Lepisosteus oculatus: one gene and its partners. The protein of the gene in region 1 binds, or shares a complex with, the protein of each later gene. Links are inferred from orthologs where the notes say so. Each region holds a gene or a part of one and is shown on either strand. Other genes may lie near its edges. The genes, in order: tmem67, transmembrane protein 107 and cc2d2a.

What was found.
Region 2: tmem67 (region 1) and transmembrane protein 107 share a complex: the UniProt entries of both Homo sapiens proteins name them as parts of the tectonic-like complex. The link is inferred for Lepisosteus oculatus from reciprocal best matches to the Homo sapiens genes TMEM67 and TMEM107.
Region 3: tmem67 (region 1) and cc2d2a share a complex: the UniProt entries of both Homo sapiens proteins name them as parts of the tectonic-like complex. The link is inferred for Lepisosteus oculatus from reciprocal best matches to the Homo sapiens genes TMEM67 and CC2D2A.

What each region holds. Positions count from the first base shown.
Region 1 is NC_090705.1:7,409,365-7,420,238, reverse strand, and holds the start of tmem67 (meckelin), read right to left. Parts: upstream 5,789-10,874; 5' UTR 5,772-5,788; coding exon 5,579-5,771; intron 5,084-5,578; coding exon 4,995-5,083; intron 4,164-4,994; coding exon 4,073-4,163; intron 3,349-4,072; coding exon 3,249-3,348; intron 3,166-3,248; coding exon 3,096-3,165; intron 2,499-3,095; coding exon 2,427-2,498; intron 2,065-2,426; coding exon 2,002-2,064; intron 655-2,001; coding exon 500-654; intron 61-499; coding exon 1-60. Other genes in the region: rbm12bb (RNA binding motif protein 12Bb), read left to right, coding at 8,938-8,958, 10,675-10,874. UniProt on the Homo sapiens protein: Required for ciliary structure and function. Part of the tectonic-like complex which is required for tissue-specific ciliogenesis and may regulate ciliary membrane composition.
Region 2 is NC_090698.1:9,298,259-9,309,132, forward strand, and holds transmembrane protein 107, read left to right. Parts: upstream 1-3,820; 5' UTR 3,821-4,062; intron 4,063-4,623; 5' UTR 4,624-4,705; coding exon 4,706-4,792; intron 4,793-5,184; coding exon 5,185-5,252; intron 5,253-5,730; coding exon 5,731-5,831; intron 5,832-6,628; coding exon 6,629-6,725; intron 6,726-7,389; coding exon of another isoform or gene 7,390-7,486; intron 7,487-7,804; coding exon 7,805-7,874; 3' UTR 7,875-8,449; downstream 8,450-10,874. Other genes in the region: aurkb (aurora kinase B), read left to right, coding at 9,316-9,321, 10,671-10,727. UniProt on the Homo sapiens protein: Plays a role in cilia formation and embryonic patterning. Requires for normal Sonic hedgehog (Shh) signaling in the neural tube and acts in combination with GLI2 and GLI3 to pattern ventral and intermediate neuronal cell types.
Region 3 is NC_090696.1:45,324,159-45,335,032, reverse strand, and holds the start of cc2d2a (coiled-coil and C2 domain-containing protein 2A), read right to left. Parts: upstream 7,161-10,874; 5' UTR 7,070-7,160; exon of another isoform or gene 7,043-7,069; intron 6,578-7,042; 5' UTR 6,479-6,577; coding exon 6,465-6,478; intron 5,725-6,464; coding exon 5,643-5,724; intron 4,984-5,642; coding exon 4,927-4,983; intron 4,330-4,926; coding exon 4,249-4,329; intron 3,786-4,248; coding exon 3,710-3,785; intron 3,528-3,709; coding exon 3,477-3,527; intron 3,118-3,476; coding exon 3,026-3,117; intron 2,645-3,025; coding exon 2,543-2,644; intron 2,131-2,542; coding exon 2,029-2,130; intron 1,003-2,028; coding exon 793-1,002; intron 1-792. UniProt on the Homo sapiens protein: Component of the tectonic-like complex, a complex localized at the transition zone of primary cilia and acting as a barrier that prevents diffusion of transmembrane proteins between the cilia and plasma membranes.

The DNA of each region.
Region 1 (10,874 bases):
AGGACTCGAGAAGCCAAACCTGGCTGATCACCGTAGTAAAGCCAAGGGAGATTCGCCCTCCTGAAACAGAACAAAAACGTGGACGTGTTTGTGGTTGCATTCTTAGAGAAAAAGAAAAGTGCAAAACACACTTGTTTTCCCGACTTCAACAAATACTCTAATTTCATGACCAAAAATCTTCAACAAAGCTATTAAATGTTTCCTTTCTCATATTATATACCTAAATACTCTTCCACTGTCACATGGGACACAAATGGGTTGCTATAAAGTGAATGAATTTTAAAACAGCACTTAGAAACAGCTGTCTACACCTCTGGAATATAGACCTATCCTGTACAAAATTATAGTAACATTTCTATTCATCCAAAAAAATCCATCCGGTCATTCTTTGTATGATAGTCCTGCAACATACATTCAAGTTCTTCTATAAAAATGTTGGCATTCCTCTTGGTTAAAGAGCAAGTTATAAGACAATGCAATTATAAAAGATGTGACTCACCAGTAGGATATAACCTGTACAGATCCAAGAGCTGCAGTGCTTCTGAATATATTATTAAAGAGGCCACAGGCATCGTTACTGACACTGCTGATGGAATTCATGGTCATCACGCACATGTTTCCAAGGGCCTGACAGGAAGCTAAGTTGGAAAGAGTCTGCAAGATAATCATTACCAGAGGTGAATGTTTAAGAAATGACTAACACTGGAAAATCACTGCAATTCATGTAAACCACAAAATACTCATATTTTATAGAAATTCAATTTACTAAAATAAAACAATGCATGCACTGTAGGTTCCTTTTATTAAGCCTAAGCATATTTTTGCTGCTGACTACTAAATAACACCCTTTTGGTCTTAAAGCTTAAATAAGTATAAAAAGTACTCCAACACTGGGCTTTTTATGTGTTCAAAATTAAATCCAATTAAACAGTGGTAGTGTTAATAATATTAATGTTTCTTTATAAGCCCTATACAATTTCTTGCATTAGGAATTCGTCTTTTCGGTATATAATCATATGTTACTGAACTTAAACAAACTTCATCAGTCATTGGAAATACAGATTTGTTGTTAGCCAAAGGAATTAGACATATTAATGTATAAAATAAATAAGAATGAATAGGCTTCCAGAACAGAACATCAGGTCATAACCTGATGGGATGCAATTGAGATGTTTTTGAATTACACGGTATCCTGTCGCAGACCTGCCATGACAGTGCAAATGTTTTCATCAGGGAAAGGTCTGGGACCTTCTCATCATAACTGTAATTATGGGTATTCATGTCTAGGTTTCTAGACGGTGACAGATGAAGATGAATGTCCATTAGTCTCTGATAAGAATGTGCTTTTACACACAACGCAAACGCACATTCAGAATAGGAAGTCAAAGCACAGAAAGATTCTAAGTGTTTATTGTTGACTGTAGAATCATCATCTGCATCCACATTACATGGAGATGCAATCCAAAAAGGCAAAGGACACCTGAAAATATGCTGCAAAACATTTTCTTTTACACACCTTTTGTTTGAATTTGAAAATGTGTGTCAGAATAATCTCTTCTGGTTGGAACTAAACAGAATCTGGGTATTCCGAAGCAGACAAAAAGACCTTCCTTAACACAGGAGTAAATACAAAACAATGACTCAGAGCTGACAATTATGACATATTAGGATTATTGATATTTGAGATGAATTATCAAACTATATTTTGGGAGTAAGATCTCTAGCACCTCTCATTTCAAAAGCCTGGAAGAAGTCTTGGGTCAGTGACTTCCTTTACTTTTTGTACATTTTTGTATGTCCTCTGGGAACAGAAAAATGTTCCCAGAACATTTGGAAACAAATGTTCCCATGAATAGAAAACAGAAACAGAACAAAATGACACAGAAGTCTATGTATATCTTAATATAAAGTACACATACGTCGTACAACAATCTCAATATTGAAAAAAAAAGTTTTGCTTAAATACAAAAGAAGATAAACATTGCAGCTGTGTATCCTTACCAAACACGCAGTTGCTGAAGACAGAAGATTTTTAGCAAACCAAACTGACTGAACCGGAATGGCCTGAATGGGAAAATTAGGTTTTAAATTAGCAACTTTAATGAATCTACAGTAAATTATACAAAAAGAACTGTTGTGCTGCTACCACATTTCACATTTAATAAACTACTCGTCTCAATGTCACCCCTAACTTAGGTTGTATATGTAAACTACTTCAATTATTGATGTCACTGGAATGTGATTTAATGTACAATATGACTGCTTCAAGACGTTTGTCTGTTTCTGTTTCAGAAAGAGATCCCGGTATGACAAGAGGATCTGCTCTGACTAACAATTTGTACATTTTTCAGTGGCATGACCAAACAAAAGGTGAGAATTGATATGCATCATCTATTTCCAGAATAGGAAATTCACCATCTACTTACCAGCTGTGCAAAGTTAATGCTGGAAGTCACTGTTGTTGGCAGATTATTTGATGGGAAGCATGAACCTCCTGACTGAAAAAGTAAATAATTCATACCTAAATATCAAAAACCCTGATTTATGGTACAAATCCTAAAAATAACAGAAGAAATATATAACAAGGGAGAAATTCCTAAGTGAAACAGTAATAAAACATAGGTGAAATAAATACTTTAACATGTACAAATTGAAAACATCAAAATAAGTGTTATAAACAGTTATTTTACACAGTTCATCTATTAGGTTGGACAACCCATTCCATATATTTTTCCTACCCTGTGAGACCACACTATTATACAACTAAAAAAATACATCTCAAAAGGCATTTACCCACAAAGCAATTCAGCATCAGACAATAACTTAAGAATTGTAAATTGCATCCTGTGAAACAATGATAAACTTCTTCATATCACTTTCTCACATATGAAAGCTTTAAACCAACAGCTACAAAATAATCATAAAAAACATAAGATACACAACAATTCAACAACAAAACAGGAAAATATGTATACAATGTGATATGCTCCTCTGAGTCCTGTAAGAAAAGTATTACTTCAATAAGGCAAATCAGAGCTGAACAAAGTATACTTGTATACATAGGTATGTTTTTAAGAGGCATTAAAAATACGTACTGGTGTACCAGATGGACCACAAACACAGGAGAGGGATGTATTGACAAAGGATTCTTGACATCTGACACACCTGTGAGAAAACAGAACATACAGTAAACAATTTCTAGAAATACTTTATGTCTGAGGGAGATTTACTAAAAATGAGTCATTTACCTGTCTCCAGGAACATCTGGGACTGTAAAAACAGGTTTTTCAGCAATACAGGGCTCACACTTCCCTTCTTCCAGCTGCCTTCCGTTGACATCCCTTTCAACTGGTGGGGGAAATGTGAGGTCAGTAAGAAAAATAACATACACACAACATGGAGAAATGGTTAATATATGCGTTTATAATTAAGTCAATACAAGCATGCATTCCTTCAATTAAGCAGACATTAAGAACAATAGAGGAAGTATTTCCCACAGTAATATCTGTTTCCATGAAATGCAGCTCAAGGGCAAACTCCAGTCCCAATTTCTCACATATCAAATCTCGGTAGCAATATGACTCCATTGACAGTTTAGACAAATTTGACAAATTTTGAATTAAGCACAAACTCGTGAACTTTGGGAAAGTACCGTTAAGTTGCCATGTTGTCTCCAACTCACATTCAAGTTCCCCAGAAGTGTGATGTGATGCGGCCCTTCCTGCTCACTAGTCACTGTAATGACTGATGTAACGTGATGTTCAGAGTGAATAACAGATTGTGCAGCAGATATTGCACCACAGAAAGTTTCCAATGTGATATGCATGCAGAGTTAAACAAGCAAGAGTCACTTCACGTCACTGGAAATTTTGTTACCTCGTTCTGAATGGCAGAACATGGCGCTGCATGTGATGGAAACTGGAGGTTTTACAAGTTACTGTGTACATTTGACTGTTATTGTGGTTTGAAATGCACTCATCAATGCTGATGTTTTCTAAATCCGAAATTTAAAAACAGTGTTCCAGTTCTCCCTTAACTCGCTAGGGAGATTGTAGATTTAAAACAATCTTACCCAGTATACTTCCAGCTGAGCACTGGCATGTTCCATCGTCATTCAAACCTCCTGGGCATCTGATACATCCAAAGCCATCCCTGGTGACTCCCTGTTATGACAGACAGGAGATATACCCAGAAACATAAAAACAACAGAGATGTCATACCTGGGAAGGTGTGCTGTGAACAGTTGCTTTTTAAGCCTGACTTAAAAAGACCAATACCTGTCACGCTACCCCGCCACAACACAAAAGAATGTGGACATCGTTACACAAAGTGTTGTGGGAGCATGGAACAAGCCAGGACCTTAGTTTCTCGCAAGAAATGGCTGGCTGAGATCCTTGGATCACTTAGCTACTAGCAACCAAATGGGCTAGATGGGCTCTTAGCAACATCCCCTTATTCCCGAGGATGGTAAATTAGTAACAGAACAGAAAAGAAGGATGATACAAGGGCAATTTTCAGAGCACACATTGACTAAACCTCATATAGTATATGGAGGGATGTTTGCTTGTTACGCCTTCTGGCATTTAGGGGCAGAAACACCCTGTTTTTAGTATTTTACAGAACAGGGTTGTTAGCCTTGTGCCCGACCTCCAACATGGAGGACCTGGCGCCTGACTTGGGACATGAACCCACTACCCTGAGATTGTGAGTCTCATGCACTACCAATGGAGCTAGTCAGGGCCCCAAGGGTATATGGACGTGGTTTAAAAAGAAAGAGTGTAAAAAGATAAAGATGTTGGCTGTGTGATCTGTGAATGTGTGATTGTGTGTTGAAATCTTAAAAACATAAGCGATATCAAAATTAAAACCATAAGTCAGGAGTATCAGGGAGAAATAAAATAACTCCAACTTTTGTTTCCTATACAGCCTACATTTAAGTTATTTTTCAGCTTCTTAATGAAAGAAGAAACTGCACTGAAGTAGAAGAATCATACCTTTTTTGTATCAGGACATTTTTCGCAGGTTGCAGGTTCTCCGTTATTAGATACCAGTACGAATCCAGTCTCGCATATACACGAAGTCCCTGTAACACAAAGCACTAAACATATTGAGTTGTTCTCTTATCCTTAGGAACACAGAAGAATGACACAATTATTAGGAATGATGACGGAAGTATAAAGTTGACAGATACTTTGTTTTCACGATCTGCCTGCAACCACAATGTATCACCTAAAACCATATTTTTCAGATCCAGTTCAGCCCGTTGCTTAACATCGATTGAAGAAATATGCAGCAGCATTTAGGTAAACCAGAATTTTACGTCTCGTCTATTTTAATTGTATCTTACATTAATTAATGAGACTATGATAACTTCAGTTTGTTGTTTTTTTTTCATTTGCATTTTACAATAATGTGATTAACTAAATGACATACAAATTTACGACAAAATTGCTGTTTGGAAAGTCATTCTGGCGGAGACCTATTTTGACATCTTGTGTTGACTCCATTGATGAAGAAGATAAATCAGAAGGGCGCCGAGCCGATTTATATACTAGCATCAAATACTACTGATACTTACCATCTGCGTTTTTGATTTGGTTAGGTCCGCACTTCACGCAGGAGAGACTTGAAATGTCAAAATATTGTTCTCTGCTGCACCCTGAGGGTTGCTGAAAGGGAATGGAGAATTGCTGACAACTGTAAATACCTGATTTCAGCAACACAAATAAAATAGATCTGCACATAAAGACACATAGCGTCCCTGTCGCCATGGTAGACAGCCTTCCTGTTTCCCAGAATCCAACCGTCCAAAACCCGGAGCCTTGTGCTGTTGCTGTCAGGCTTGTGGGAATGTTTTCATGAGTCTGAGAGGAAAGGAGGTGTGTTTGCTGATCGATGTGGTTACCACCGAACACATTATATACACTGTACATAGCACAGTTAGATTTTTTGTCATAGCATTAAGCATGTTTGCTTATTTTTTTCGTAATGAAGATAGGAATTGTTTTTTGAACGAGATAATAAATCTTGATTAGAAAGGAATTTCGTTTTTTTTTGCCAGCTTTTAGCTTTTAAATTGATGCTTCTCGTAGATATACCTTGTGGAAGTGAAGTAATGTTTTACCAAAAGCACATGAACGATTTGTGTCAGGAATTACATATGAAAACCAATGTAAATAAGGAAGTGTGATTATACATCCTGTTTTTGAAAGGCTCTTATATGCTTTGAGTTTATGGAGCCTTCAGTGTTGAGAAGTAGTTAAAAAATCCTCTAGCTCAGTTTGCATTACATTTAGTAAATGGCTTCTTTATTATTCCAGGTATGATGCAAGCATTGACTTAAATAATTCAATCCTATAAATCTGGTCAAGCTGTAGTCTTTTGACAGTGGCATTTATATTTAACTACATGAAAAAATGATCAGTTTATAAACATACACTCAGAAGGATCTAAATCATTTAATTATTAAATTCAAAGCGGTTACAAATTATAAACTGCTAACTAGTCAGAAAGATTAGAAGATGTATGAACCTGAGCCTGTGACTGGCCTTAAATACAGCCTATATAGTGTCTGCACTTTACAGCATTAGTTCACACAAAGCCGTTTTTATGTTCCAGTGTACCATCAACATATCAAAAGACAAAGAGGCTATTTTAGAATGAAGCATTTCAATTTGGGATGGTTTAGAGTTTAGTCTAAAATATTCAAGTGAAGATTCTCAAAAATGCATAGATCTGAAACCTTTGAAGTGTCCAATATGTTTTGGATCAATGCATTACAGAGAAAGTAACCCGTTCATCCTTATCAATGGAAAAATGAAAGTGTCTAGTAGATATGCGCTTACATGCGAAAAAGCACAATAAGAGATACAGTACTAAGGCTACGGTACAGTATAAACTAAAGTATAGCTAACCCAAGTGTTATGATTATTTTTTTTCGAAAAGAAGAAACACGTTTTGGCTATTCTGAGTTTCCGTAGATGGTGACGTTCTTTGTAATTGACGTTTTCCTCGTTGTTTGGAGGGGGGACGCCATTTTCTTCTAATATCGAAATTTACCTGTATTGGGGAGTGATTCGGGACATCTGGAGATTATATTTTCTGTTGGCCTGGACAAGTAATCATTTTTATTCTATATTTGTTGTACGTAAGGCAATTGCGTGGGTTCTGGGTTTTTCCGTGTACTTCCATGAAACCGTCTAATTATTGTCTGAGTGCTCAGGACCTTTCGGTTTATGTTGTTAACCCGCAGTTTTGTTACGTGTCCATAGGCTATTTCAAATATAATGTGTTGTATTTTTTAATAGTTGCTTAATTTAACGAAACGGTTCTCAGATATTCGTTTCCTTCCCGTTATACTGTAGTTTTAAATTTCCTGGCACTTTGTCCAGTGTTGTTTTGTGTTTTTGTTGATACCGTTAGTGCATCTGTTTTCTTAAACGGGTGTTAAAATAATGTATTTGATTGATTAACCGCTGCTGGATTATGAAATAACGTGCAGCAGTTTTTTTTTCCCAATTGCTTTAGGTTCATCGATGAGATTAGATAACGTGATGAGAGGTACATAACAGAGTGAGGCAGCGTGTTTGCTTTTACCACAAAAGCGACCTGTTTTCAGTTATTTTGTTTGTTGCCTGTGTATGCCATTTACTGTTTTGTACTGTAATACAATTTGAACGATATCCGGTACATCTTAAATTAGGCTTTAACGACCGAGTCACTTTGGAAGACGGCAAATACAATAAGGGTTTCATGCAGAATTTAAAATACAGTATAGGGGTTAATTTAACGGATGCGTGAAGACATTTGTGAAACAATTACTCGTTTTGTGGGCCGCCAGGCGCGGTGTTCTGTTTGCAGAAATCACAGTCATTCATTAACTTGGTTTGGATTAACCTAGTTGCATTTTGACGTCCTCGCAGTGATTTAGGAGGTTGAAGGAGACGTGCCACTTTTTTTTTCATTGCAGAGACCGGAGGGGGGGTCGGTCGGTCTTGATGCTCCACTCAGTGGACACCCAGTCCAGTCGACTCCCACCACACGACCCCTGCTATTCGGTCCTTCCCTCAGTTACAGTCTCTGAACATGCGACAGACAACAGCAGCAACGCCTTAAAATGCCAATCAGGAGAGGTGCAAATCCAAAACACCGGCAGCAATTAAGCACAGTTTGAGAACCTCCCAACAGGTTTTTGTTGCCTATGTAGTCATTAAGTTTGCGGGAACCTGGTATGCTCTTCTTTCTTCTGATATTATGGTTGTCACAACAAAGCAGCACTTTTAACTTCTGTGGGTTCACTGGAAGAAAACCCGTCTGTTTTCCTCTGAATAATCTGTCAAATCAGTATAATTGCAAGGGATAGGGCTGCGTCATTTATTTGGAAACTTTCACTTAGCACCTGGTCTGGGGGGTCTGACTGCTCATAGGGGGGTTTAAAATGAAAAGTGCAATGTTGTATAAGAAAGTAAGGATTTATTCTATGCATGTTGTAGTCTGATTTTTGCTGTAATTTAGTGTGTGGATGGGATTTCCACTTGCTGTTTAGAAAGTACGTAATCTTTTCTGCCACACAATTTCCTTGTTTTTCCAGGCATGGGTTTTTTTTTAATTGGTAAAAGATGAAATGCATGTTTTAGAGTAAATTAAAATGAATCTTTATTCTAAAATAGAATTGCAGTTAAAAGCTTTTTAATTAAAAATTATATTTAAAAATAATATATTTTTTAACAGCTCACTTCTCTATCTAATGACTAGGGAAGATGTATACAGTATGGTAGAAACAGTTTCATTTTTTGTTCTGAAGTTTGCTGTTGCTGTTGCTTGGTTTTTATCTGGAAAGCAAATTGGTTAATTTCCTTGAGTCGATCCATCAGAGACTTTGATATTTCTTAGTTCACCTTGATGTGAACAACAACTGCACCTTGAATTCTGCAGGAAATGAATTCATCCTACCCACAGGTCTGTGGATGAGAGCTGTTTTTTTTAAAGCAGTGACGGGGTCACTTAACGTTGTGTGATTTTACTGCCTGGGAGATCTTCGGCTAAGTTTTCTTGATCTCAGTCATTGTTTGTGAAATTTATCTGTGATGTTTTTTTTTATCATCATCTTCGTTCTTTCTGTCCGTGATGGCTTTGGATAGTTTTGTTTTAGGGTTTGAATCTCTTCAATAGCTTGTTGTTTCGGTACTGAAGTAAATTGAGGTGGGCTTTTTTTTACGATACATTGAAATCTGTGTAGATGAATAAATGTCTGTTTAAATCAAGCTTGTCATCTGGATAATATAGATGATTTTTTTCAATATTATTGATTGATATCTGTTTGGCATAAAGAGAATGGAGTGGATACACGGAACATGGGAGCCCTCACTCTACTGAATTGCTTGGTCCCACTTTGTGCAATTTGCACTTAAGCAAGAGATCCGTCTTGGTACATTCCTCAAGCATTGCCACTGCATTGGATGTGACAGAAACATTCAAAAGCAAGAACACTTTCCAGTGGAAATTGGACATCGGGAGCTTTTGTATTTGGTGTGGATAATACTGATGTTTGTTCCAGAAAATGGAGTGAAGCAAGAAGACTGATCTGTGTTCTTTATGAACAGAGAAGATGGAGGATTTCTCTAGACTTTCATAAACGCTTGTTTCTTTCTTTCTTAGTGTCTAGTTATGATTTTTTCCTGTAGTTTTAATAGTTTATGAAGTGAGGATAAACAACTAAAAGAAGGATTGTTCATTGTATCAAAGCCTATTGTGGTATACAATATGGGCCACATTGTTGATGGACAGGAGCAGTATTGTGTGGATTTGTTCTAAACAGGATTTGGTATTCTGATTTAGTTTTAAGTATAACACAACATTATTTTATGGTTTTGTGTGTATGCACACAAACCTGCGGTATTATTGTGTTGTAATTATACATGTTGGAAACGCTGTGCTTCTGAGTATAGGCCAATGATGTTGCATCACTGGGTTACCTTAGCGATGATCATGTATTGTGTGCCAATGTGCATTGACTTCTGGTTAAAATAAAAAACATAATGCATACAAACCAGAGGTGAGCCCCAGATGTGGATTAACTCTTGTGTAGGACTGCCTGTAAAGATAGCACTGGATTGTGGGCCTTTCATTAATGGATATTTAGTCATAGAATGCAGAGTGAGATAAACCAAGCAAATTGAGTAGTGAATTTCTGAGTCCGTCTGATATTGCTAATAGCAGTTTTTGAGAAATAAGGATCCATTTATGTTCCATGATAACTCTGTTCCTAATTCAGTCAACAGTATAGGTTGACACAAACCGTGTCATTCTCTTAAAACACTATTCTGTTTTCATTCCAATATCTTAAATCTTCAAAGATTGTAACATACTGTATTAGACTAATTGCATGCTGCTGCTTTGGTCATCTTTCGAAATACTTGATACATTTGCCCAGATTGTATTTTGAGTCTGTAATGTTGGACATGTTAATGTCTTTATCATCATGGATGCAGAATATTAGGTTAAGTTTAATGGAGACCTGATCATTTCCTGACTTTAGACCGTTCTGGCACTGGACAACCAACGGAAGCTTCCTGTCTAGCTGCTGTGATAGTGTGCAGTGCAGTGCAGTGCACTCTGAGGTCGCTGACAGGGCTCTGGCTATAATAATGCTGTTGTGTGCCTTTTTGTCTACAGGTCCTGTTGTATGTGCTCAGCATGGCGGTGGTCATCCGCTTACAGGGGCTTAGAATCGATGCTGGTTCTGAGGATATACGCAGTTTCTTCACTGGACTGAAAATCCCTGATGGTGGGGTACACATTATTGGTGGAGAGCTCGAAGAGGCTTTCATTATATTTGTCTCAGATGAAGATGCAAGGCGTGCTATGATTCGCTC
Region 2 (10,874 bases), on another chromosome or scaffold:
TGGGTAGATTTCATATTTATAAACCAAAATGGTCCAATAATACTCCCCTTTTAAGTACTTTTGAGGTGGAGTTGAAATATGAATTCTATAAAAAACTTAAAACATTTCAAGTATAATGTAAACAGGCGCCGTCCTTCGGATGAGACGTAAAACCGACGTCCTGACTCTCTGTGGTCATTAAAAATCCCAGGGTGTTTCTCGAAAAGAATAGGGGTGTTACCCCGGCGTCTTGGCCAAATTCCCATTGGCCCTTACCAATCATGGCCTCCTAATAATCCCCCTCTCTGAACTGGCTTCATCACTCTGTTCTCCCCACTGAGAGCTGGTGTGTGGGGAGAGCACTGGTGCATCATCCAGGTGGGGCTGCACATTGGTGGTGGTGGAGGGGATCCCCATCGCCTGTAAAGCGCTTTGAGTGGAGTATCCAGAAAGGCGCTATATAGGTATATGCAATTATCACTGCGGGTCATGGAGCAATACTCCAGAGCCTCGGGGTCGAAGCTCAACCGCCGAAAGAGCAAACCGAAGTTCTTCGGGCCCTGGAAGCACAGGACGACGGTGCCGGAGGGTCTCGAGCTCTGCACGGAGCCCCTCAAAATACTGGGGGTTTCCTTCCAGAGCCAGGACAACAAGACCAACAACTGGACCGAGAGGATCGCCAAGGTGAACGCGAAGCTGGGTCTGTGGTTTACCTGGCGGGGGTGTACCCGCTGCCGGCCAGACTCAGACGAGCGCTGCAAGGGATGATCTTCGGCTTCATCTGGGGCGGCAGGTACGAGTACATCATGAGGAACCGGATGTGTCAGCCGGTCGAGGAAGGGGGTCGAGATGTCCCACATTTCCCCCTGAAACTCGACTGCATCTTCTTCTGCAACCTCTGTCGGGCGCTGCGGGAGCCCATCGGCCACAAGTACCAGTACTTTGTCAGGCTGTGGCTCTCCGTCCCGATGAGGCACTTGGTCCAGTGGTCAAACACCGGGCCCAAGGCAGAGAGGCGACCGGAGTTCTACACCCACACTGTCAAGTGGAGCAGGAGGTACGAGGCCACGAGACAGCCAGAGCTCTGCACCAGAGCCCTGTACAAGGAGGTGAGGGGGCATCTGGTCGCAGACGAAAGGCTGCAGGTTCCCAGACAAGTCTGGGAAAGAACGCAGCCGAAAGAACTGGACAACGAACTGAAGGACCTCAACTGGATGGCCGTACACAAGAGACTGGCTACCAGAGAGGTCCTCTACAGACACTCGATCTCCAGGAATCCGCATTGCCCCCGGGACACGTGTTTCGTCGAGGAGACTCAGGAGCACGTGTTCTGGAGCTGCCCCTTTGCCAAGGCGGTGTGGGGCAGAATGGACAACATTATGCAACTCCTGGGAACGGGTGTGGTGCTCAGTTACCAGTACATTCTGCTGGGGCTGGCACCTGATTTGATTTTTAAGAACTTTATTTTCTTTTCACAAAAAAATACAGGACATCACAAATTAGAAAGCTTTACATTAATATACATACTTAAAACAGTATATATGATCACATCTCATTACATTTTGACACGGTACCAGTTACATAGCAACAATTTCTTTTTTTGTGGTGCAAATCACATTCTTTACTTAAACATGATAATGTTTTTCACAGTTTCTTGAGATATTGACCTATGCTCTCTATTTCCCACAGACTTTCTGCTTCCTCCCTCCCTTCTCTCCACAGATCTCTGAGGTAATAGTTCTCTCGGGTGATGAACAGGGCCAGGCTACCTGCTGCCTTGACTGGGACCTCGATGCCTTTGAACAGCCCCATGTTCCTCACTCTCCACAGGGCGTCTTTCCCACTGTTCACCACGGCCCAGATCCTGTCAAACACGTCAGGAGGAAGTTTGACAGGAGAGATGCCGTATATGACGCAGCGGTCAGGGTAAATTGGGGCGAGAGAGCTTGCAACCAATCTTCAAACTGTGCCCAGAAGGCCTTAGCAAAAAAGCAGGACCACAGGAGATGGGTCACAGTCTCCTCCTCGCCGCAGCCCACCCTAACGCAGCGAGGGCTGGGGGTGAGGCCCCTACGGTACAAGAAAGTTCGTACCGGTAAGCACTGGTGGACGACACTCCAGGCTAAATCTCTGTGAATGTTGCACAGAAACTTAGAGGATGTGTGTTTCCACACCTTCCTTGTTTGGGCTGGCACCTACCGGATCAGACAAGGGGACGCCGTTCCTGATGTGGCTGCTGCTGTCCCTCACAAAAAAGGCCTGTGGGACGCGAGGAGCACTCTCATCCGGCGCAACATCGAGTGGGGAGCGAGGGAGCTGGAGGAGAGGATCCTGGCGGGCCTCAGGAGGAGGATGAAGCGCGACATTGCCAAATGGGGTTTCCCCACGGCGAGGGAGTGCTGGAAAGGACTTTGGACCCTGTACAGGGATTAATGGACAACAGCAAGTGGTAGGGTTTGGAGGGACTCTCATAATCGCGCAAATCCACCCACACTTGCAATGATTGATAACGGACAATCACCGCCGTTCCGCCGTTGTTTTTATTACGTAGAGTGTTAATATGTGTGAGATGTTTCCTTTTGAGATGTTTTTTTTTCGGAATAATAAAGAAAAAAAATACAATTATTATTTGATGTATGTATAAAATATTACTTGGTCACATAAATACTTTTCCTCCTTATCTCTGGCAGTTAAGTTTTTTTCTGTTTCATCTTTCATCCATTTCCTCTCCTCTATTTGTATTTGTAAACACAAATTTGTTTACACATTTAATTTTTTTTTTAAGTTACGGTTTATTTCCTGCCGCAGAAGAGAAGAAGAGACTGTGGAGTTTCCTAAAAACGGAAGTATAATGACTCCATTAAAATTAAAAAGCGACAGACAGAAGGTAATTAAATTTTTCCTTCAACAACGACTTCAGTGTAATTAGGAGATTTATTTGTGAAACATAATTACCCAGAATAAGTAAGATCAACGAAGCTTTAGTACACATCATCTGGATCACTAGTTATTTTCTTATATTTAACGAAGTTGTTTTGATCGTCAGTGAAAATCAGAATGGAATTAACGAGGGTGTTGCATTCCTCATCAATTGTGAGATATTAATCATCATCTCATCTCTCTCCATTCATCATGTTCTGAAACTCCATTGCTGGAGTAACAGGTAAGGAACTACCTCACTGACGATACCGTTTAACTGCTAACGCGGAGTTAGTCCTTAATGTTTCGGGTCGAACCGGTCATGGTAAGAAACGACAACTGGCCCATTTTAAACTTCAATATTCGACCGTACAAGCAGCAGATAATGTCGATGAGAGTAGGAAGTAGTTCCCAAGCTCTCGAGGCAAAAAGGATTCAACAGCCGTATTAAACAAGTTTTATTTCAGTAAATCGTGAGCGGTTCGTTTCCCCCAGAAATCCTTGCGTAAGTAATTTACATATCGTGGTAATTAAGGCGTTCCTAGTGGTTCGGCTATCAGTGTCTGTTAGCAGAGCAATACAGTATATAGAGCAATATCATGGTGTGTTTTATACACTTTTTGTATATCATGGGTTAAACACGGTTGGATACATACACATTTATATGTGCTTCACAAAAGGACAAGTGATGGAGTTGATGGTGATGGAGCTAGTTCTGATCTAATCAAAAGTTTTAACAAACATGTGGCAAAAGAAAACTGTCCTTGTTTGCTACAGTCTGGAAACACACGCCCGCTCTGTTTTTAAATCTCCACTTAAGTCTCCAATTTTTTATTTGCTATTTCGTGTCACTTCCGCGATTTCCTTCGTCACCCTGTAAACGTCACCTCGCAGAACGCGAGGCTTCTCGCGAGAGTGCGCGGAGATCTGTTCAGTTGCTGTAGCAACGACAGCGGGCGGCGTGAGTGTCGATTGTTTAGTGAGCTGTTGTAAACTATGAAGCCTAATTTCAGATTTTTAAGCATAATTTGTGCTTTCATCTCATTTTCCTTTTAACTCCAAAAGTGTGTTGTTTTTGTATTTTTGTTTCATTGGTATCATATTTGCGGAGGGCGCTGGATTGTATTTGTCGGTTTGAAAATAAATCATAGCTCCACCGTAACGGTAAGAAACGAACAAATTGTTTTAAAATGTGTTAACTCTTAAATTAACACAAAAGACGGGCACCGTGTGCCGTCCTGGGTGTTTTGAAGTATGTAATACAAGTCCAGCGGTGTCGGTAATAATTCCACTAGATAATGTTATCTATTGTTGTGCAAAAAAAAATCAGTTTTTCCTCATTCCTAAAATACTCGGTGTTTGACGAAACATTAAGAAAAACGTTCATGTTCAACCGGGTTTAATAAAGAAGTGAGGAGGGACTTCGTTAGTGGAGTACGAGCGTAGTAACTTGCGTCATTTTAACATTTTGAGCTTCTAGTCACGAATAGTCACATATATTATCCTAATTGTTAATCTAAGTGATATGAAATGTAGTTTTCTTAATCTGTTCTTGTTCGCTCCACTTCTCAGTAGCAGCAGCAGTAGTAGTAGGGTGTCCGGTGAATCTTTCCTAGTGTTTGAGCCCTCGTGTGGAAAGATGGGGCCGGATCTGTCAGACGCCCCCGGGTGAAGGAAAAGAGTCCAGTTTCAGCTCTGCCCTGTCCTTCTGTTCTTCCTCTGCAGGTCCCGGCGAGCCTCGGTGCCTCTGACCTCTGACCTCGGCCCTGCCGACCTGGCCTGGCCCGGCCCGGCCCCAAAAGTAGAGATGTCTGCTGTGAGCAGCCTGGTTCCGGCCCGGTTCCTCACCCTCACTGCGCACCTCGTCATTGTCATCACAATATTTTGGTCCCGGGTACGAGCCCGCACTTCCAGCAGAACCAATTGTCAGGCTTACCCATACGTCTTAATAAGTAAACAGTCTTGCAAAATTCTTAATAGTTTTCTAAGATCTCTACTGGCTTTCAGCTTCAGTTAGTCCTTCCAATAGGTCTCTTACCACTGCCCTGTGCTGCATGGCAGTGTAGTCAGGGCTAAGCTCTCGTAACAGGAAAGTTGTGGGTTCAAATCCCAGGTGACCCGCTGTACACATGGGTACAGATATGTAAGTGGGAATAAATTGGGAATCATAAATGTTGCTGTCCCTGAAGATTGATAGCGATGTGGGACTGAGTGCTGTGCCTGGTGAATGCACCCCTGATGTTTGGCCTTCTCCCTAACTAGTGTGTCGGTGTGTTTTCCTCTCAGGAGAATAACGTCCTGGCCTGCCTGCCTTTAGAGTACACACAGGAAGAGTACAACAGCCAGGATACACAGTAAGTCCAACGGAATTTCGACATCATGTTTAAGATCGGTTGTCTGCCACAATATTAGGGACCCCCATTGCGAAATGGCGGCAGCCCAGTCCCATCCCTTTCACTCGAGTGTCTGTGGAGGGACAGTGGTGTCTGGGATTGACCTGTATCACTGGTTTCACAGCAGGATGGAGATCTGAGAGGTTGTTCTGGCCAAGAAAGGTGATGGATGGATGGTGTCTGATACCTGCACCCTTTGTTCTGCACACAGAGGAAGTGTAGTGATTTCACTGCTTGGTTCCTAATATTTTGGTTAGTGAGTGGGTACTGTACCACTCTGTATTGTATGTGTGTTTCTGTGAAAGTGTTGGTGCTGCCTGTGTGTAAATATTTACCAATGCATGGGAAGAACTGTGTGTTAAGTGTCAGTTTCGGGGTTCTCTCCCACTACAAGCCTTCTGACGTTTTGTGGGCGGTTGCTTCTCTTTCCGTGTCGCAGGCTCGTCGTGGCCCTCTCCGTGACCCTCGGCATGTTTGCCATCGAGCTGGCCGGCTTCTTCTCCGGCGTGTCCATGTTCAACAGCAGCCAGGGCCTCCTCTGTATCCTTCACACGCTGCCCAGGACTGTGGCCCGGACCTCCCTGGTCCCTTCACAGAGCTGCCCGAGGCTGATATGCTGTTCCCAGTGCAGAGTCTGGTCTCCCACCTGTTGAATTTTAGTTGGGAAGCATGTGGAGCTGTGATGGACAGCCCTGAAGTTGACAGGACCGACTTCCCCTAGGGGCAGGGAAATACTGAAAGCAGTTGGACACTCCGATCCAGCTGAGGATGGGTTGATGAATATCGGAGAGAGAGCAGGCACAGGCAGGGTTTAGCCGTCAGTGTGTCAGGCAGGGTGTCCTGAGAGTAGCGCAGTGAACAAACAGGGAAAGATGTCATCTTGCTGTGACATGTGAGATGTCCTGGTATGAGTGTATCTGAGATGGGTCTCCACTGCGATGGAGTGGCTTCCTGTCCAGGGTGCATCCTGCCTTACATCCAGTGCTTGCCAGGATAGTCTCCAGCTGTCCCGCAACCCTGAACTGGAAGAAGCAGCTAGGAATCGGGTGGCTGGAATTAGAGATGCATGTTTTGTACGGTACGCAGCTGAATTTCTGTGTTTTTCTAAGAGCCGATAAAGTTGAAAGTGCTCTGATTAAGTGAGCTGTAGGTTCAGTGAAGAGATCAGTTAAGAGACCTGGAGCTGGCCGACGCTATGGGGTCACAAAGGACCAGCAGTGGGGATCCTCCTTAAGGCTCGGGGAATCTGGGTTTGACTGGAACGGGTTCTCGTGGCCATAAGGGCACCCCGCGAGCGCCTGGGGTTACCACTCCCTGACTCAGCCACTGCCCTCCAGCCACTGCGGCCCACGCCAGCGCCGGAGTCGCGCTCGTCTTCTTCCTCTTCGAGCAGTGGGACTGCGGCCTGTACTGGTGGATATTCGCCTTCTGCAGGTCAGTGACTGAGCGACTGACGGCACAGGCAGACCGATGCACTAACGGGGGGGGAGCGCTTTTGGTCTGTTTTTGGGACTCGCTCAGAGGGAAGACCGAGCCCCCTGGTCCACACGGTGCTGGTTTCAGCCAAAACAGTAAATGTTGGTCGCCCACAAGACGTGGCAAGTAACTGACTTGGCAGTTTAGTTGTCCAGGGTTCCCCCCTTATCTTGAACGCAGGTAGTAGGATACTAAAGAGTTTTAATTAGGTTTACCACTACAAAAATTATAATTGTGTTTAAGGAAATTGAGTTGTGATTTTTTTTCCAGAAGGAAACACTTTGCACTAAGGCAGGGAGTTGTGAAATAAAAAATATTTTTAGAATTTAGAATTGTAGATCTTCTCTGTGTTGCAACTGTAGGTTGATTCCTACCTTAACTAAGGCCTCCTTGAAGAAAGAGCTAAGTCTTAACGCAAATGTGTGATGTGAGCACATGTATTTGTTGCCACATCTCTGAACACAGAAGGAGTTCCTGTTGAAGACGGTTATCCCTTTTGAAGACTTTAAGTGAAACCGGCTGGTGCTTACAGTATTGATAAAAACAATGAGAGCATCCCCCCCCCCCCACCCTCCCCTCAGTCTGGTTTGGTTGTTTTTCCCTGACTGGCGCCCCCTGCCAGCCCTGGCCTGTCACTGCAGCGCCTCCGTCTGCCTGTCCTTCTTCGTGTTCCAGAAGTGGGAGTGCTGGACCTACTGGTATATTTTTGGATTCTGCAGGTAAAGTTGCACGTCCTTGCAGCTGTGGGATTCGGTGGGACGTGGGCCTAGGGGTCAGTCACAAGTCGGGGATGTACAACCCTGTCCTGGACAGTCACACTGTGTCTTTCTCCTCTTATTTCTTACTAAGCCCTGAACGGATGAATTGGGTCGATATCTCACCTACTATTAGCCCTATCAAGGGTTTGATTATTGAGCACTCAGGTGGACCAAACACTGCAAGTGTGTGGATCCCCAGGACAAGGGTTGGGACTATGATGTATATTCAGACTGTAGTGTAAGTGGTATTGATTCCTGTGTTCTCTGATGTGTTTTCAGCGCTCTGCCTGCTGTTGTGGAGATCTTCCTCTTCATCGCAGTGTTTGGGCTGAAGAAGAAGCCTCTGTGAGCCAGGAGGCAGACTCACAGTTAGGACACTGCTGCCCTCCTTTTAGCTGAACCATGAACCACGTTCCTCCCCTCCACCCAACTGGAGAAAATTGAACCCAGCACAACCCCCCCCCCCCCCTTCAGATTTCGCCCTGAGGTCGTTCGCAGGAACACGCACATGCCGGCAGGACGCCGCTCGGCCCGACCGGCTCTTTCAGTTCACGGCTTTACCGACGCTGTTGCTGCTTATTCGGAAAAAACAGCCACACCCGGTCTACATCTCCTCTCGTGCAAAAAATAAAATCAAAGAAAGGCAGGGAGCCAAACCGGAGCCACGCAGTGCCCAGCGGTTCCTGTGGCCCCAGGCTGTGTGTCCCTCCACTGCGGGTGCTCCGGGTGCAGAAATACAGGCCGGCTCTTCGCCAGGGTGAGTGCCCGCAGCAGAGAGAGAGCAGGCCGCTGGCGGGTGAAAAGGAAGAGGTACCTTTGCTGCTGGCAGAGCCTGGCAGCTCCTGAAGGGCAGTAAATGGGTCAGCCGGCAGGGGCTCTTGATCTTTTTATATTTTCTAAAATAAACAGCCAACTTGACAATAAGCAGTCTGTGATTTTTATGCTGGTTACCTGTTAGGTGTTGTGTGTGTGCATAGCAATTTTATTGTTTTCTGCCATGCTTTTTTTTCCCCCTATTATTATTGAGAGGAAAATAAAGGTCTTTTGTTGGCGAGCAATGTGCTGACCTTACAAGGCAAGTGAGGAGACAGTGGAAGGCAGTGTGACTGACATTGCTCCTCTGCTGTCAGGCTTTGCCTTCTGCTTTTAGATGGGGGGGAGGGGGGGTCTTCTTGGAGCTGCCCAGCTAGCTCTGCAGAAAAGCACAACACAGAATGATGCGGTATACTGTACACGTCTCCATTGAGGATCACATCTCTGTATGCAACTCAAAGGTTGGGGCAGACTTCCCTTAAAGATACATGCCCGACTCCAAGAAGGACAGGTGTATGCTTCAGTTGAGTGACTTCCACAGCTCTTTTAAAGGCTGATTTCGTGATTTAATGATCCTGCTTAATCGTGTCTCGCGCTTTTTTGTGCTGAATGTTTTAATAAGATGTGAACTGGATTTTGGATATTTCTTTGTCCCAATGTTTTTTTTTTTTGGTCAAACCGATGATTTTATGGTTGACATCTACGCTAGAGGAAGAAAACGAGGTTGTAATATTTGAGCGGTGGGCGTCAAGCTCTCCTCGGAAGGCGTGCTTCTCACTGGGCAGTTCAGAAAAGATTGTCATCTCGAGTGCCCAATGAGCGTTCCTGATGCCGGCTGTGTGGTTACCGCCCTGGCCAATCACAAGCTCAACCTCTCGTTTGGCTAGTCCAATCAGACGCCGGTTTGGATTTAAACATTGGCGGTCACGCTCGTGGGGGTTAGCAACTGGCTGTAGAAGCAGGGAGCAACAGTGCATATGCAGGTAAAAATGTAATTAAAAAAATATATATTATTTGCGATTATATTGGGAGACGTTTAATAAATCCTTTTCTGCGCTGGCTATGCTAGTTGTTTTTGATTTGTTGGTTTCGTTAAACATCGTATCTGACGTGTTTTTTTGTGGAGTTTTGTTATCGAGTAACGTTTTAAAGCATTTTACCCGTCTTTATCTTTTCACTTCGTGTATAGCAGCTTATCTCCCTTTAAAACGATTCTCAGACGGAGGTAAACCACAACCCGAGGTGTAACTTTTCAGCGGGTAGTTAGTTTAGGTAAACAAAAGGCAAATCATTTGTAATTGAATAACTGTTGGTGTATCGATCTGTGTTAATTTACTGGGACCCTTTCCGGAATCGCCTTGAATTTAAAATAAAACGGCCGGGCGTTTATAATCCGAAAACCCAGAGGCAGGACACGAAAGGAAACCGCTGGATGCCGGTTTGGGGGTATCTATATTCCACACCCGGGTGGTACAGCTAAATGGACGTACAGTATTTAATCAACTCGATATCACCCGTGGTTAAGCACTCCTTCGTGGTAGACTTGATAAGGTTATTGTAGTAGTTCAAGTAAGTAACTGCGTCAGCATGCGTAGGCTGCAAAGGAACAAGTTCTTGCTCCTCCGTGCTGAAAAGGAGAGACACAACGTTTAGGCTGTGGAGCCGCCTTCAGTGTGTGTTCAGGTCTCTTGTTCCTTCACTGTCACTATAGCTGACCTCTTGAAAGCCTCCAGCGCACGGATTTCGACAGGATGCACAGTCTTGTACAGTCGTGCTCAAACGTGTCGTCTTTAAAGTGCCTCTTCTTGTGTTGCACCTTGACGCTTGTGAGACGCTGCAGTGAACCTTTTAAGATGGCGAGCGTCTTGCCCGTAACTCAATTGGTGTTGATCTTTAAGATCTGACCGGCTCGTAACTGCAGCAGCTGTAAAATCGCCTAGTGGACACAACAGGTTCTTGTTGTGAGTTTTTTGTCTTGTGACGTTGCAGAGCCCTTCAGTAGACTACTTTTTTTTCGGTGTAAACTGCATTTTAAATGACCGTTGGGGGAGTCTTCTCGATTTTCTGTCTTCTGGTAGTTTATCCATCAAACGCCCGGTGATTGGTCCTGATGTCAGCAGCTGTAGTTCCTCTCCCCGCCACCAGGAGGTCTCTAAATGTAGTTAAAATTAACTTATCCGCTTTTATAAATGGCGCGTCTCACCCCGAAAGATAACCAGAGTGACTCGCATATATGTAGGAGGGAGGTGTCTTCATCCATGGTTTTGCCGACACCTTTGGAAGGCGAGCTGAGAAATTGCTTAAGCTTTTGACTTTAATTATAATTTCCCAGACTGGGGAGATGTCCAATAAAGAAAACCAGGAGCCCAGATCTGCTCTGAGACAACCGGTAAGTTCTGAACTGTTGGTCTCCTATTACTAGATTCTACCCCTCCAACACTTTTTTTGTGAGCTGTTGTGGTGTATTGATTTGCATGTATGTTATGCAACAATCAAAATGCATGTTTGATATCTTGTTGCCCCCCCCAACCAAAAC
Region 3 (10,874 bases), on another chromosome or scaffold:
ACGGCACCTTCATCTGAAGGCATTTTCATTAAACACCTGCAGCCCACACTCCTTCACTCTGTCACTTCTGTGTTCCAAGTAGCTTATTACCAATAAATCACTACTTAGCAGTTCATGCATAACTAATTAGGCAGGAATGAAAGGACACTTGTGTCACAATCAAATTAGTTTATAACTGTAAACTGTATTATTGTACAGATATCCTGAATACTGATAAATTGATATTTCTAGTCTTCCACTGAATATACTTTGGAACACCTCATAGAAAAATTGACAACATTGCCTGGAAATTAAAATTCAGGTAAACACTATAAAGTATTCTGGCTTGGAATATCAGATTAAGCAGCAAGTAATATTTCTGTTTTATTATTTTTCAGTGAGGTCTGTTGTTAGAACTGGTACAGATCGAGGGGGTCTCAAATGTTTTTTCCCATTTTCACACATCACTAGCTCATTACCCACTCTTTACTTCCCACCAGTGTCTGTATCCTTAGGCCCTGTGTGGCAAGAGCCCTAAACCACTTATGAAAACACATAAATGCAATACAATTCATTTTAACATCAACAAAACCAACTTTTAAGCAGCTGATTTATAATTTTTATCGTCAAAGTCTGCAGGAATGAATAGTTTGTATATACACACCTTTGATAAAATCTAATGAATCCTCTGAAAACTATATTATAGTATATAGTGTGGAAAACTTGACTTGTTTATATGCTCTTTGTAATGCTTTTCAGTTTTATAAAACGGAGAAAGTCAGCTCAAGCAGCTACACAATGCATCTTCATCACCTTCTCCTCAGCCTCCTCTTCCCCCTGCAGGTCCCTGCTTAGCCCAGTCTCGTCTTCCTCCTCCTCCTCCACCACCTGTTCTTCCCCACCTCTTTCACCCACGGCTTGTCTCCTCTTTTCACCCTTCTCTTGGGCTTCCTGGGGTTCAGGATCAAAGGTGACGGTGAAAAAGTTGTAGGCTTCCTCTGCTGTAGGGAAACCAGTCTCCACCTGTGCAGGAGAGACAGGAAAATGAAGATGACATGATGGAAAGAGAATGCTGTTCATGCTTGGGCATTATTTTTGGTTAGTTCTGCTGACTTGAATTTAATTCCGATGTAGTCTGTTAAAATTGGCTGACTACAGTAACCACCCGATATAAAAGTGCAGTTTGCGGAAGTTTGCAAACATAAGCATGTGAAGCATACATAAGCATAGTGAACCCGGGGGGACACAAAATGAATGGAGCTTTTTGTCATGTGTAACTGTGGTTCAGGATGGAAGGAAATGGATTTTCTTGCATAACATAAAACCATATTAAAAAAAACCTCATAAGGCCACTTTTTTCATCTACAGTATGTTACTGTGCACATAAAAGTTACAGTATTTGTTGTGATACCAGATAGTAGATGCACTGTAAATCCAGTGTATTGTAGAATTTGGTAATTTCAAGTGACTTTATTTGACATTTTTGGATTATCCTCTCCTCCTCTTAAATTATTTTATTTTGCAATGTTATAATTACTTATCACCTGACAGCACTAAAATTAAAAAAGCAACTTTCTACAATCAAGCTAAGGTACTTAATAAAAAAGTTTGAGAAAAAACATGTTGGGTTCCATTTTTAGATGCATTCTGTAGTTGACATTAATAAGAATAATAGATATATATAAATTAAGAAATGCTTTGGATTCACTAACAGAAATTTAAGACTATTAGCAAAACCAAATGAACTGGGTTTTCATGTAGTTCTTATAGGAGGATTTTCTACTCTGCAAAGAATGAAAAAACATCCTCTTAAAATACCTATACTATTATTAAACCTTAAACTGTCACTGGCAGGTTTTTCGCTTTGAAATCTTTATATTGGGTATGTCGTTTCAAAACCATTACAGTAACATACTATATCTGGCAAATAATATAAGAACATGAATAACACATACAGTATATACATACTCATTTCGGGAATTGCATCGAAAGGAACAGCTGAATTGTAAAGAGATGTTAAAACAAAACTAAAAGAAAGAATACTGTTACCTGAGACCTCTGCTTGACTCTTTTCACAACATCTCGAAACTTTACTTTTGAACCAGCAGGAGATGCATCAGCTCCGTTTATCTTGAATTCGTGGTCATCTAACTGTATATTAGCAATTTCCAGATTTCAAATAAAAAAAAAACAAGAGCACAAACAAAGATGTTTACTGCATAATGAAATGCCTCTGCATTAATTTATATAAAGCATGCCTGTGTAACAGTAGAATTCATCAGGCCCCAAATGTATTTTTATATTCCTTGGGAAAGAAACAGGACTGTAATAGCTTATTTGAATAAGAAAAAAACAGAAGTGTAGAACCTATCAACTTTCAACTTAGCACAAAAACATATCTACTGTACTTATTTTACTGAGGAAGATCATATACTGTATAGAAGGATCATGTATTCTGCATTTCATTTCATTTTCATTTGGAGAGAAAATTGAATAGGATTCCATATGGTTAAGGTTAGACCAGATTTGCTCATTACTCATAACTTGTATCACAATAATTCACCTGTTTGTCAAATCTAGTGACTGTCTCTCTGTCTCTCAGGCTCCTCAGGCGACCTGTAGGCTCAGAAGTGTCTTCCTGCTGCAGAATGCTTTCTGCTTTGGACTAATGAAAAACATAACCTATGTTATATGAAACATATAATTTATAACGTATTTCATATGTTATAAACATATGAAATACAGGATTTTATTTTTCTAAAAATAAAGATTAATATTTTTTCTTCCTTTCTGTTTTTGCGCACAGCAATTTATTATGGAAAGAAAAACTGTTTTACATTGTAGCTGATGTAAGTTTCTTCTGTATAAATATTCTACACAGATAATCACAATATCATAAATTCAGTGTCTGTAAACTAGTGTCTTTTCAGTGACTTCTGACACATTAAGCAAAGACAGTTAAAAATATATTTTTTACACTTCACATTATTTTTTCTTCTCAAAATGTTTCCTTTAGAGGGTGAGTAATCAGTAATGGTTTTATTACCCTGGCAGCTTTCAGTTTCTCTCTCATGCGTTCTCTCATTGAGAATTCTGCGTAACTGGTACTTGGTGTAGACACAGGATGGGGAGACAGATCTTAGAAAAATGTAAATAAAAAACCTTGTAAGAATTCAGACTTGTAATGGCTCAATGTTATATTTTATAACTTTCAAAAAATGTTTGAGGTACTACATCTTTTAAAAATGATACTGTGTATATTACATTTTGTCTCATAAGAAACTTATTGGTTATTAGTAAGTGTTTTGCTGTACCTTACAAGGAGTTATAAGATTAAAATGTTTCAAATTAAGAGTTCATTTTATTTATAAAATGTTATACACTTTCCCAGGTCTGTCATCTATTAAAAATTCTGCAAGAGAATTAAGACTTCTCAATGTTAACGCCATTTATACTCCATTCATAGTCTTCTGTATAGAAGTATAGAAAAATACTACCATGTCTTGCGTCTGTTGCTTGCTGTGATAGGCTCCCACTCCCCTGCAACCCTGTATTGGAAGAAGCAGTTAGAAAATGAAAGGAAAGATGGAAGGATGGAGAAACCAAAGTGCTGCACTGAAGACAATGTTATTCTGTTTGATGGGAAGCTGAAATAAATATGATGAAAACACTATACAAAACAACCCCCCCCCCCCCAAATCTGATGTGAAAACCTTAAGTAAACACTTACTTCTCTGACCATGAACCACAACACTTGGGTCTCTCACTGGCTCCTCAGAGATTATGTCAGCCGTATCCTCCTGTAACTAAGATAAAAGTCAGAAGACTTAATTTTTAGATTTACTATCACTAAATAGGGTGTGGATTGAATATTATCTTCAAGGGAGTATGAAAAAAGCATTCAAAAATAGTGTTTCAAAATCCCTTTGTATTATAATGATTGTAAACATTAAACGGAATGCTCAAGTACACTCGAAGCTGTTTAAGAAATTAGAGGTGCAAATGCTGAATTCAGAGTGACACCAGGAAATGAAAAATCCCGTTTAGAAAAAAAAGAGAGCTTCAAATTGCAAAAAAGTGTGAATATATTTGTGCCATTTTAAAAAAATGTAATACAAATTTCTTAAAGAAAGGAAAGTCAGTAAATACTTGAATATCTACAATAACTTACATGGAAACTAGAATAAAAGTATTTCTTTACTGAACACATCTGTATCACACATTTGAAATTCTATACACTGTGTGATCTATTTAATTAAAAACACTTACAGGCTTTTTTCTCCTCTGTCTCTGCGCCTTCAAAGTTCTTTTTAAATTTTCCACTTGTGTTTCCTCATTGTCAACGATTTCCTGAGTTAGAATATAAAAAGAATCTTTAAAAAGAATGTTGATAAGTTTCAATCTTCCTGAAAATAAAGCCCAAACCACAGAGAATTTTGTCAAAAAGACAAATTATTTAAGGTTGGTATCATGCAGTGCACACATTAAATCCTGGGGAAATCATCAATCAATGTGTTATATTTTTTTAAGACAGTTCATACGAATAGCTTTCAGATGTCCATCAGAAGTTTTGACAGACTTGTGGATTTCTTTACACTATTTTACAGTTTTCCCTAAAATCAAAACAGATGATTAATTGCCATGAACAATAGGTAACCCTGTACTTGCTCAGGTAAAACCATAGAGAACAAGCTCACACTTGCATTGAAGAAACAAGGGGATCATTCATATTAATGCTTTTTTTTTTACTTTGAAATTACCTATTAGACTAAAGTCAAATGAATTCAGTTAATACTAAGATACCGTAGTGCTGTTTAGCGTTGTTATTTTATCCGGAAGAGACAAGCAAAAAAAGTATAAGATAGTTTAAAGGACAGGTACAATCCATGTGCCTTATGAAATCTATAGAGACAGCATACCAAACTGAAAGGCTGAACAGACACCAACCTCTACAGTAGCCTGTTCAGTTTCCTTACTGATTTCCATTTCTGTGGTGACCAAAGCCTGGCAAGCAAAACAACACAGCATTTAATGGTGAAAAGGAGCTCTGAGGAGTAGGTTCCTCCCTCCTTTGGCTACAAACCTCATTTCCAGGGCCTGTTGAGTCTTGCACAGAGCTGCCTTGATAAAAGTTATCTGACCTGCTATCAGTCTACTGAGCCAGTCCTGAACACATTTTCGTTTTACTTTTCACCAAAAAGACTGGATTAATATACATTTACAGTTAGATTTCTTTTCTAAATTTATAAGAAGATACATCTTGCATTTGTAGAACAAATGCTAATTTTTGGAAATGATGGGTGGAGTTGAGGGGCTTATTCAATGCCCACAGCAGTAACAGGGAAAATATTATCTTTCACAGTAACTGCTAAGAGAAAAAAATTCAGAAGTGCCATAATGAACATTATTGTTCCTTTATGTGATTCATAAGCTATGGGAAATTAAAAGCAAAACTGTTTAATGTCAGAAAGCATCTGACTCCAGGAATAAATACAGAGACCTCTTGGGGAAGTTTGAAATCAGTGCATCAGTCAGTAAACATGCCTAGTATGAGCCATGTAAGTCCAGTTATCATTCTGCCTTTTTTCAAATTGAACGGCTACCCCCTCTGTATATTTTCATATAATTATCAGTTACAGTACTTCAGTCAATCATCATTTTACCTGTTTATCAATGTCATCTTTAACTCTTGTCAAAGATTCTTGAAGTGCCTTCCGCTTCTTTCTAATTTTCTCACGTAGATCACTGAAAGAGAATTGGGATACCAATTCAGTGATATCAAAATAAAACACTAGCTGCAAACAATAAAGATTCCTTACACTTATATTGCGCTTTTATATAATCAGGACACACCACTCAAAACACTTTGAAGGTAATGGGGACTCCCCTCCACCACCGATGTGTAGCATCCACCTATTTAATATTGTACCCTAACACTGTAGGTAGTCTTTACTAGCTTTCGTATCTTATAACTGATTTTAACACCTTAAGGATGTGCTCTGCTGTAAAAGTAAACCCCCTTTAATATATAACTGTTTGATGCTTTTGGATATATTTGTCCTTAACGTTAATGAGTTTGCATGTTCTCCTAATAATTGAGGGGATTTTCACGAGTTACACTGAATTTGAAGAAGTCCACAGGGTTAACTTATTCATTTAAAATCCTGAAACGCAGAGACAAATCTATCAATACGGCCAGTGGAACTAGATGACATTAAAAGAAACTAAAGGGAAATGATTTTAAAACTTAGAATGGAGGTACTTTTTACACAAAGGATTGTGGATGTCTGGAATACGCTAATACTCTTTCTTCTTTCAAGAATCAGCTGGATGACACATTCAGCTCAATTAGATACTAGAAACAAAGTCAGGTCTATGGACTAAATGGCTTCCATTCTCTTTCAAGCTTTTTTATGTTCTTATAATTATATGGCCCAGTTATTTAAAAAATGTTGACTGCCTCATCAACCAATAATTCCACCTACCTTGAAGAAGCCATGTCCTTATGCACAGCAGTTTGACATCACAAGAAAGGATGCCAATTAAAACTCGACACTTCAGAATTCTCCTTTCTATTGTTGGGTCCCGTCTCAGATTTCTGTAAAAAAAAAAACACTGAAGTCATTTAAGCAACTAATTAATGGTTACTCAAAATCTTTGTCCTGTAATAAAAGGTAGGATTTGTTTCTTATGCCCTAGAGCTATGCAAAAGAAAAATACAACCTCGGGCAAACCTGTTGCATCATAATTACTATCTAATTGGTAGGTGTACTACTTATATAGAAGTGCTATAAACAGACAACAAATAATTTACTTTAGCCGCAGATACAGTACGTACACAATTACACATTGAACAGAATACAGTATAAGCAAAGTTATTTATACAAATAAAAAAAGTAAACTAATATACTGTGCCTTGCATTGTTTAAATGCAATTTATCTATGCACATCTCATAAAACAAGCATGATACCGTTTGTGAAACAGTGAGTGTAACATTTCAAATAAAAGCAATGCAAAGTCACATCTGGCATATCTTTCATTGTTCGATATTCAGACATATACCAGTATATTTTCTTTCGCTGTAAACACCTTATCAACTGCCGCAGGCTGTAACACTAGTTCAGTTTTGCTGCTTAGTAACGACGGAAACTACTTTCCAACCAAACTTGATACCTTGATGTAAAAACAACCCCAGTGCTCCTCTGCACTCACCTCATTCAGCAACTTGCTTGTCAATCAGGGCAGAGGGCGGGCTTGAACGGTCATTAACTATGGTGGCTCGGAAGGGTCTATATTCATTAAATCGATTAGATTTCAAAAGGAGTCCAAAACAAGATTTAAACGTATCTCACAGCAACCTTTCTTTTTTATTTTTGTTACGTGTTTTAGGACTATTTCTCCATTCACCCCAGTTCTATCCGATCTTTCAATTCAGGGTGGAGTTTTTTTTGTGGAGGAAGGGGGTTTAACCGAAACATCCTCGGTGACACTCGCGGGTTTGGAATTAAACCCAGGAATCCAACACTGCGTCACTATGCCACTGTGCCACCCATAACATCTCCTTATTTTAAAATATAACATTCAAAAGAGAAGAAGATGATCGATCCACTTTCCTTTTTTGAATTTATCCAAATTAAGTGACTGATCAAGCTATTTTATTATTTTTAACCCATTGAAATATGTTCTTTATGTACACTTTTTCTCATCTGGCACTCCCATAAACCTGAATTGGATGAAGCATTTAGAAAAGGGATGTATTTTGTCAAACAATCCAAATATATGTTATATTTTTGTATTATACATGCAATTAGGTTATTTTAATCTTTTATATAATAATTCTAAGGTAGTGAGAGGTGGCTTTGAGGGGAAGTCACCTGTTGATGTAAACAAAACTTTAAAAACAAGGCACACCTGGGATTTCATAGGAGGTGAAGCAACTGATAGGATGGGCACAGTGTAGAATTGTAAGAGCAGCTAGGAGGAAAAGGATTTCAGTCTGTGTCTAGGTTTCAATCAAGTGAGAAGTGAGAAATTATGGGGTCTCATAAGTAATGAATTGAGCTGGCTTACAGACCTGCAGTTCTCAGTGAACAAGGGATGCTTGAGAAAATATAGGTTGGACTGTTGTAGGTGTAGGACAGATGGGTGCTGCATAGTAATTAGGAAGAGGATTGACTACACAAAAGATTAATGAATGTGAAGGTGGCAGTGTAATGCTATCCCAAAAAGCCTGAAGATGAGGAAGGTATTGTAACGCTTACGGCCGACAGGCACTGTGTAAGAGCCGGCGTACCAGAGCAGGTGACGTCACCGCCCTTCCCTGTGAGCAGGACTACAGCTACTGGACTGTGGAGAGATCTCTATTAGGCTCACCGGGCTGGGTCCCTGTTGAGTGACATGGGAGTCCTAGGTTCGAGCCCCTGACGGTGTGGGGCTGACCTAATGTAGCAAGGGTGCCCGTCTGAGCCCCTGTTGCGTTACATTGGTGTCAGAGTGGTGTGGGATAGCCCTTCACTGGGGGCAGTGATTTAAGCGGGGGAGGGTGTAATGCTTATGGCCGACAGGCACTGTGTAAGAGCCGGCGTACCAGAGCAGGTGATGTCACCACCCTTCCCTGTGGTAGCAGGACTACAGCTACTGGGCTGTGGAGAGATCTCTCTTTGGCTCCCTGCTGAGTGACGCGGGAGTCACGGGTTCGAGCCCCCGACGGTGGGGGGCCGACCTAATGTGGCAAGGGCACCCGCCTGAGCCCCCGTTGCGTTACAGTATGTTTCTTGCTCAATTGGCACCAAAGGTACTGGAATATTAAGGCATAATAGCTTGTTTGTCAGGCACAATGGGATTGAAGTTGGTTGCTAGGGAACAGAGCTAGCCTGCTTAATTAAAACTGACTGGAGTCTTTGGCACCTGGAGTAGGGCATTGCTTGGCAAGGTAGAAATATGCCATCTCCCTATTCCTGAGAGAGAGTAGTCTAGCTAGCACAGGTTGAGTACCGAGGACTCCCTGGGTTTTCATAAATTGACAGACTGGTGGTCTATGAGAAGAGAGAGAGAGTCTTAAGCAGACTGCTGCTGTGTCAAGGCTGCAAGTGTGGGCTACATGGAGGTTTGTCTGGCCAGGGACAGCTTTATAGGTAGTGATGAGAAGAGTAATTGGTTATAAGTGAAGATCAGGTACTTGGTGAAGATTGAGTGAAGGGTTGGGGTGAAAGTGTTGCACAAAGAATTGAGTGAAAGTGAATTTAGTCAACATTGTATTCAGTCAACATTTAATCTGGATAATCTAGTGCCTGGTTGTTGAAGTGATTTTAGTTAAGACTGAGATTGAGCCTCATGGATACAGTCTAATTGAATATTCTAGTGGCTGATTGTTAGTGAATTAGTGAAGATTAAGAATTGGGAAAACAGATTTAGTCATGTGCCTGGTGATTAGTGAAGATGGAGATTGGATAATCAATGAGAAGATCAAATGACTATTTTAGTCATGCATAGTGCTTGGTGTCAAATGAAGACAAAGGATGAAGAGAGTTCCAAATAGGAAGATCTATAGATGTTGAGTAGAACCAAGTGAAGAGAAACCTGGAAGGAGGAGGAAGACTGTGCGACAGCAAAACATCAAGTAAAAGCTAGGATCACGGAGGCAGTCCAAAAGTTGAAAGATTAAATGATTTTACGTTAAAGTGCAAAACACAAAGGTGACATCCTTCTTGGGGAGAGTGATGTGTGTGCCAGTGGTTGTCACAAAGAACTTTCAGGATCTAATTACATTTAATCTTAAAAATATAAGAGAATAATGGACAACTTCGGGGTTCACAAACATTTTCTCTTCATCAAATAATGATCATACCATTAACATCTGCCACACTTATTACTTCATCTACCATGATTTAAATATGTCACAAATAGCTAAAGCTTCTTGTGATTTTCACCTCACAAGTATTGACATAATTATCCCACCCCCATTGGGCCATCAACTGCTACTTGCCATGTGGCCTCTTACTCAATGTCAATCCTGGGCAAAAATTGCTTGACCATGTTGTTCTAAACATGGTAAGGACAACTCTAATGACAATAGTTAACATATGGCAATGTGCGGTTCTTGCAGAAAGTTAAATGACAAAACGAATGCCATTTTATTAAAAAATGCAGTCTGTCACTGTCTTAGGCACTGCCCCACCAATTCTCTCGACACTTGGCAGTTTCCATGATATGCATACTGCACTTCAGAATTGCCCCTCAAAGGTTGTAGTAATACCCTATATACTTACGGTACAACATGTCATCTCTTGTTTGGTGAATCACATTTCATAATGCAAGTCGATCCTGTGAAAAATAGGACAATTAACTTCAAACATGAAAGCTATCATTGTAGATTCTATACAATTAATAAATATAGAGAAACAGGCTTCCTACATAAATCAGAATGGCCACCATATAGTTCTCTTGTTCATACACTTCTAGTATTGCAAACTGCTGGGTAAAAAATATTTGGTAAAGTATTTCCAAACTTGGTATGGATATGGTGCTTTGGACACCACTGTGAGCTTGGTGGTTAGCACTACTCCCTCAAACTGATTCCTTTCCAACTTGGGGGACCTGTGTGTATGGTGTCTGCTTGTTCTTTCTGATCGTATATGGGTTTTTGCCATATGCATTGATTTCCTCTGATCTCATAGAAGAGAAATCTACTTAAGTTTGACTGCATAAGTATCAGCCGTAATTAATACAAACAGAACATGTGAAGAGATTTATTTTTTCCGAAGGCTTTTGTTAAAACTCCATATGAAAGTTTCATTCTCAACATCCAAGCAGTATGCATTCAAGGTAAAGCATGTTTTTTAAAACAGAAATAAATACAGTACTTTAGCACAAAGTGCTGTCAGGCATATTTAAA